Linked DNA regions of Callithrix jacchus. The protein of the gene in region 2 purifies or fractionates together with the protein of the main gene of each other region. This does not show direct contact. Links are inferred from orthologs where the notes say so. Each region holds a gene or a part of one and is shown on either strand. Other genes may lie near its edges.

Region 1 (3,928 bases), on a different chromosome or scaffold from region 2:
GAAATAACAAAATAAAATGGTAGAAATAATTCCAGATATGTTAGTAAATATAATAAATGTAAATGGACTAAATGCTCCAGGTAAAATACAAAGATTATTCTTTTAAGAAATCTTTTTGTCATGACACATTTCAAGTATACAGAAAAGTGGGAGGAACAGTACAAGAAAATTACATGCCTGTGACGTAGAGTCAGCCATTGTTAGCTATTTGCCATGTTTGTTTCACCTCTATAGGTATGTATAGGAGACTATTAAGAACACCTATTTTACTTCCACAGCATACATAATATAATGAAATACAATTTAAATGGTAATCCTGATGTAGAGCATCCACTTTTAGGTCAAGCAGATCTGGATTTCCCATCAATTTTTAATTATTTAACTTACTTGTGTGGTTACGTATTCAACAGATGTCTCTTCACTAGGCTATTGTAAGAGGGTTGGAATCAGGTTAGCTTTTCTGATCATTGAACAAATTTCTAAATATTTGTTGCATAAACAAATCTAATTAGTAAAGAATTCAGCACAGTGCCAGTTGCATAGTAAACATTTAATGTAGAGCAGCTTGTATTTATTGTAGTTGCTGTTGTTATTGAAAGCATTCAGCAGAGTAGCACAACATATAAAGGCAATAATTGGTAGTTTATTATATTTATAATTATTATTTACAAGATGTCACAGTGCCTAGCACATCACTCAGTCATAAACATCATGTTTATACTAAGTACTTTTACTATTATTCAAAGTTTCTAACAGTGCCTGGCACTACATAAGCAAGAGAAAAGTGGAAGTTTATTCTTACCAATTGCTACTATTGAATAAAGCACTTAAGACGAGGCTGGCCCCCATTGGTCCCTTAATAGTTTTCGCCATGGCTATCATAGTAGCTGGACTACAGACCCCGCCTCCTGAGCTGCGCGAGGCCCCGCCCCTTGCTGCTCCGCAGTCCCGCCCCTGTGGCTTCTGCCGCGCCTGCGCACTGTCCCGGGAGGGGCTCCACGCGCGCAGCTTTCGTCCCCGCCCCTGGAGCCGGCTGCGCAGGGCGCAGCTTCCCGCCGTCCGAGCGGGCTAGCCTGCTGCGTGCGTGCGTGCGTGTGTACGTCTCTGCGTGCGTGCGTGCGTGCGTCCGTGCGTGCCGTCAGCTCGCCGGGCACCGCGGCCTCGCCCTCGCCCTCCGCCCCTGCGCCTGCACCGCGTAGACTGACCCCCCCCCGCTCCGCGCGCTCACCCCGTCGACAACCCCTCCCGTGCCCCGACTGGCCTCCGCCTTTTTGTAAAACTAAAAGCGGGCGCAGCATTAACGCTTCCCGCCCCGGTGACCTCTCAGGGGTCTCCCCGCCAAAGGTGCTCCGCCGCTGAGGAACATGGCGAAGGTGGAGCAGGTCCTGAGCCTCGAGCCGCAGCACGAGCTCAAATTCCGAGGTAAGCCCCGGAGGCCGCCACCTTCTGGCCCGCGGCCCCCGCCCCAGTGCTGAAGGGACTGAGTCGGGCGCGGCGGGTGACGTCGGCCCTCGTCCCCACCCTGACGGCGCAGTCGCGGGGGGCGGCGGGGCCCGGTTGGGCCGTGGCGCTCGCGGCACGCCGCAGAACTGCCTGGAGCTGCCGCGACCCGAGACGGCCCGAGAGGTCTGGTGCCAGAGCCGGGGCTTGCGCCGCCTCCCCGACCCTCAGCCTCCCGGGACCTGCCTTCGAGGCACTTGTCACATTGCCTTGTAACTTACTGACGAGTTTGTGGTCTTCTGTAGTGTGAGCCTCCGCCGTTGCCTGGAAGGTTCTTCCCCTGCTCTGTGACAGTGTTGACCTCAAGGCTTAGCTGAGATGTCACCTGTTCAGAGAGGCCTGCTGTGACCAGCCAGTCCACCGTGCACACCTGCTGTCGTTCCCCATTCCGTCACCCAGTTTCGTGGTCAACGCGGCACTTTTCATGCCCAGAATCACTGTTTCAACACTAGAAAGGAAACTCCATGAGGACAGGCTCTTGTCAGTTCGCTACTGTATACCTAGCACACATTAGATGCCTAGTAAATACCTGTTGAGCCAACAAATGAACCTCCTAAGGACTTCCGATGGGATCGAACCCACTTTACTTTCGCTGCCTCCCTCATGCTGTCTCCTGGGTGCTGCTGAGGGAGGCTGCCAGGGTGCTGGGATCCTTTTTCTTGGCAGAGCCTGGAGCAACACCTGAGTTGGTGGGAAGCCATGACCGTGGTTTCTCCCAGATGCCGTTATCTTTGTCATTTGTGCCTTTATGTTTTCTATGTTGTTGTTTTTGTTTTTTTTCCTACCTTCACCAGGACCACGAGGCAAAATGTTCTTGTCTGACTTGCTCATTCCTTCTTTTTTATGTGCATCCAGTAATGTGGAAAGCACTGCGGAGGTAGATGATGGATGAACAAGACAGACAAGGCCTCTGCTCTAGTAGAACTTACCTTCCGACGAGGGCAGAAAAACCAGCACACAAGATCATTGCAGATAGTGCTAAGTGCTGTGTAGGAAATGGAACAGTCTGACTCCATGAAAGTGTATTTTAGATGGGAAGGCAAGGTTACCACTATATCGCTAGCACCAAGCTCACAGTAGATGCTCAGTTGGTAGGTATGAATGAATGAATGGCCAGAGACTCTCCAGTTTATGTGTCCTGGTGGGAAGTAGTGTAGGGTAACTTACCCAAAGTTACCCAGTTGGCAAATGGTACATTTGAACCCAGATGTCAGAGTTCACACTCATAACCATTATGCTATCTGATCTCTGGGAAATACTCCAGAACTGTGGCTGTCACTTTGCCTTCCATGTTAGCAATGTGAAATAACTGAATTTACAGAGAACCAAAGGTTTTCCAACTAAAATGAAGAAAACAAAAAACCCCACAAAAACCTGGATCCTAATTCCCGGATAGTACTTGAGCTTTCCTGATGTTCTCCTGGCTTTCTGCAGAAGCCAGACTGGACAGCGAGTCCAGGTAGCTAAAGTGAATGTGGTGAGCCATGGTTTCCACTTGAGTTGTCTGAAGTTCTGGCTTCTCCCGTGCATTGGCGTGTTCTTTCAGTTAGTCCAGAAACATTTAGTGAATACCTGATCTGTGTGTCAGATACCGGGAGAAGCCAAGTCATATCAGTTGTACTCTCCCATTTTCCCCTCAGCCTCCTCCCAGTAGTTTAGGGAATGGGGGCAGATGAGAATAACAACCAGGACAGGTCAGTGATGTAGGGTAATCCAGAGTGCTCTGGGAGCATTGAGAAGGTCAGCTTCTGAAAGAGGTGTCATTTGAGCTCAGTTAAAAAGTTGAAGTAGAAAAAGTTTCAAAGAAGGAAAGGCGGGGGGGCGGGGATGTTTCAGGCAGAGGAAATTGTATGCACTGAGGCACAAACACTTGACTGGCTCCTTTGGGATGACACTAGTAGGTTTTGTTTTGTTTTGTTTTGTTTTGTTTTGTTTTGAGATAGAGGTCTCGCTGTCACCCAAGCTGGAGTGCAGAGCACCATGTCCCTGCAACCTCTGCCTCCCAGGTTCAAGTGATTCTCCTGCCTCAGCCTCTTGAGTAACTGGGATTACATACAGGCCTGTGCCACCACCCCTGGCTAAATTTTGTATTTTTAGTAGAGATTGGGTTTCAACATGTTGGCCAGGCTGGTCTCAGACTCCGGACCTCAAGTGATCCGCCCTCCTTGGCCTCCCAAAGTGTTGGGATTACAGGTGTGAGCCATCGCGCCTGGCCACCACTAGTAGTTCTGAATGACAGCAACAAAGAACATTTTTTGTGGTTGCCTGGTAAGAAGGGAGACAAGGCTGGTAAGTAGACAAGAGTCAGATCTTCTCAGTCCCTTTATGCATAGATGCACCCAGTGTCCAAGTTACAATTATGTTGATTCTTCTTGAGCAGTTCTTTCTTGCATTAACTCCCTGAAACCCCAAATCCCAGTACAAACTC
Region 2 (3,500 bases):
CTCCCAAAGTGCTGATATTACAGGGGTGAGCTACTGTGCCTAGCACTTATGAAGTATTGACCCTTAATCATTATGAAATGTTTCTCTTTATCCCTGGTAGTAGTCCTTCTTTGAATTCTACTTTGATAATAAAATTGCCACTTTAAGAAAACTTGAGGGCAAGGTGGCTCATGCCTGTAATTCTAGCACTTTGTGAAGCTGACGCAAGCAGATTGCTTGAGCCCAGGAGTTCAAGACCAATTTGGGCAATGTGGCAAAACCCTATCCCTACAAAAACTACAAAAATTAGTCAGGCATGGTGGTGGGCACCTGTAGTCCTACCTACTCAGAAGGCTGAGGTGGGAGGATCACCTGAGGCTGGAAGTCAAGGCTTCAGTGAGCCATGAGTATGCCATTGTATTCTAGCCTGGGTGACAGAGTCAAGACCCTGTATCAAAAAAAAGAAAAAACTTGGCCAAGTGTAGTGGATCAGGCCTGTAATCCCAGCACTTTGGGAGACCAGGGCAGGAAGATCACTGGAACCGGAAATTTGAGACCAGCCTGGGTAACATAGTGAGACCCCCATCTCTATTGAAAAAAAACAAAACAAAACTTTATCCGAGTATATTTTATATATCATAAAATTCAACTGTTTCAAGTATACCATTCAAAGATTTTTAGTAAGTCTCTGGCTGGGCTTGGTGGCTCATGCCTGTAATGCCAGCACTTTGGGAGGCTGAGGTGGGCGGATCACTTGAGGTCAGGAGTTCAAGACCAGCCTGGCCAACATGACAAAACCCTGTCTCTACTCAAAATACAAAAATTAGGCGAATGTGGTGGCGCATGCCTGTAGTCCCAGCAACTCTGGAAACTGAGGCAGAAGAATTGCTTGTGCCCAGAAGGCAGAGGTTGCAGTGAGCTGAGATGGCACCACTCCACACTCCAGCTTGGGTGACAGTGAGACCCTATCTCAAAAAAAAAAAAAGAAAGATTTTTAGTAACTTTCTTGAGGAGTACAATCATTACCATAAATCAGTTTTAGAATCTTTTTTATCCTACCGTAAGATCCCTCATGTTCATTTACAGTTAATCCCCATTACCTCCCAGCCCAGAGAACTACTAACTTACTTTCTGTCTCTATAAATTTGCCTTTTCTGGATATTGCATATAAATCATACAATATGTGATCTTTTATTCCTGGCTTCTTTCCTTAGTATAACATTTTTGAGGTTCATCCATTAAGTGTGTTGTTTTTTTTTTTTGAGATGGAGTCTCGCTCTGTCACCAGGCTGGAGTGCAGTGGCATGATCTTGGCTCACTGCAACCTCTGCCTCAGCCTCCTGAGTAGCTGGGATTACAGGTGTGTGCCACCACACCCAGCTAATTTTTGTATTTTTAGTAGAGATGGGGTTTCACCATGTTGGCCAGGATGGTCTCTATGTTTTGACATCATCTGCCTACCTTGGCCTCCCAAAATGCTGGGATTACAGGTGTGAGCCACCTTGCCCGGCCCCATGAAGTATTAATTGCATGTATCACTGGTTCATTGCTTTTTATTGCTGAATAGTATTGCACTGTATAGCTATATCACATTTTGCCTATCCATTCACCAGTTGGTGGACATTTCCAGTTTGGGACTGTGATGAATAATACTGCTGTGAACATTCTCCTACAAATCTTTGTGTGGATATTTATTTTCATTTTTCTTGGGTAAATACCCAGAAGTGGAATTGTGGTAGTTTTATGTTTAACATTTTGTATTTTTTTACACATGTATATCCAGTTTTCCCAGCACCGTTTGTTCAACAAACAGTTCTTTCCCTAAAGAATTGTTGTGGCAGTTTTTTCTTTTTTTTTTTTTTTGCTTGAGATTTGTTAAGCTTCACTCTACCTGTGTATGGCCTAGAAACTCTCTGGGCAGTGAGTTAGAGCACTCAGAGGATTCCCCTCATTTGTTTCCTTTCTCAAGGATCACTGTCCTGCACTGTCTTTTGACACTGCTCATTATCTGAAAACCACTATTTTATTATATGTTGCCTGGTTTCCCGGTTGATGAAGGCAGGAAAATAAATGTGTTCCCCATTATTTCATCATGTCCAGAAGCACAGTTGGTCTTGCTTACATTTCAGCTTTGAAAATTTACTTCTCTTTTTACTTGTTAACTTCTAAGTTTTCTAAAAACAAAAATCCTTCTTTTATAACTTGGAAAAATACAAATTTTTTTAAATTAAAAAGCAGAAGCAGCAGCATCCTGCACATAACCATGGGCAGCAGAGTATCATTGTTCTTAGAATTCATAAGCACGAAATTGTAGATGTGATTTAGGAAATATTATTTTATAAAATTACTGTAATTTTGAGGGTATTGATTCTATTTAATTATCTCTTTTAAAGAATGTTTGTAAAATATGTGGTTTTTGGATTACAGGCGATTGTGGAAAAATGTGACAGACTCTCTGAGGGAATCTGAAATTGATAAGGCCACAGAGCATAAGCGTACCCTGGAAGAACGTCAGAGAACTGAAGAAAGGCATCGTACTGAAACAGGCACACCTTGGAAAACCAAATATTTTATTAAAGAGGTATGCTGTACATGTGTTAAAGATAAAACGTATCTCCTTGGTGAGAACTTTGGCTTACTAGGCTTTGTTGAATTGCTACCACTTATACATCTTTATTTTTAAAAGTAGTACAACTATATATAAATACCAATTGTTTTTGAGACCAGCCTGGGTGATCTGTCCCAAAAAAAGAGCCGGGAGCGGTGGCTCACGCCTATAAGTTGGGTGGATCACTTGATCACTGGGTTTCACCATGTTGGCCAGGCTGGTCTCAAACTCCTGACCTCGGGTGATCCACGCACCTGGGCCTCCCAAAGTGCTAGGATTATAGGTGTGAGCCACTGCACCCGGCCAGCTTTCTACTTTTCATTTATTCCTTATGTGACAGACAGTAAGAACCTACCTCTTACTCTTTATTTCACACTTTGTGATGTTGGACAGATAGATGCAGAAAACTGTAGCAAGATAGGACTATTCCATTAAAATAGTGAATTTCTGGATGGTGTTGCGTAACTGCCTGCTGGAATAGTAGATTAGAGATGTAGACTCAGATTTGGGCTCATTTGGGCGGGGCATGGTGTCTTGGGCCTATAATCAATCCCAGCTACTCAGGAGGCTGAGGCAGGAGGATCACTTGAAGCCCAGAGCAGACTGGGCAACATAGCAAGAACTCATCTCTAAAAAAATAAATATAATAAAAGTATTTGGGTGATAAGATGTAAGCAGGGTTTTCTAAGTGGTATGCCAGGGCACAGTGGTGCAGCAGATGCTTTAGAGTGGTCGTGGTATTAGCACCTAATGGTTGCTATTGTGAGAGAGGAATTATTCTGCACAGAGTAACGTTGTTCAGTACTGTTGGAACAGGTGAGAGAGATCAAACTCAATTCTGCATATAGCAGTAACAAGTGGGGATTTATAGCCCACAGGCAGGGTGTGGGAGTAGGTGAAAAATTACTAAGAG

Evidence for each region.
Region 1: the proteins of OSBPL11 (region 2) and VAPB purify together in Homo sapiens (affinity purification with mass spectrometry; 4 studies listed by BioGRID and IntAct, counting the BioPlex papers as one, with this or other methods). This does not show direct contact. The link is inferred for Callithrix jacchus from reciprocal best matches to the Homo sapiens genes OSBPL11 and VAPB.

Annotation. Positions count from the first base shown.
Region 1 is NC_133506.1:53,978,822-53,982,749, forward strand, and holds the start of VAPB (vesicle-associated membrane protein-associated protein B/C), read left to right. Parts: upstream 1-1,128; 5' UTR 1,129-1,364; coding exon 1,365-1,422; intron 1,423-3,928. UniProt on the Homo sapiens protein: Endoplasmic reticulum (ER)-anchored protein that mediates the formation of contact sites between the ER and endosomes via interaction with FFAT motif-containing proteins such as STARD3 or WDR44.
Region 2 is NC_133516.1:77,480,427-77,483,926, forward strand, and holds part of OSBPL11 (oxysterol-binding protein-related protein 11), read left to right. Parts: intron 1-2,406; coding exon 2,407-2,560; intron 2,561-3,500. UniProt on the Homo sapiens protein: Plays a role in regulating ADIPOQ and FABP4 levels in differentiating adipocytes and is also involved in regulation of adipocyte triglyceride storage. Weakly binds 25-hydroxycholesterol. Interacts with OSBPL9 to function as lipid transfer proteins.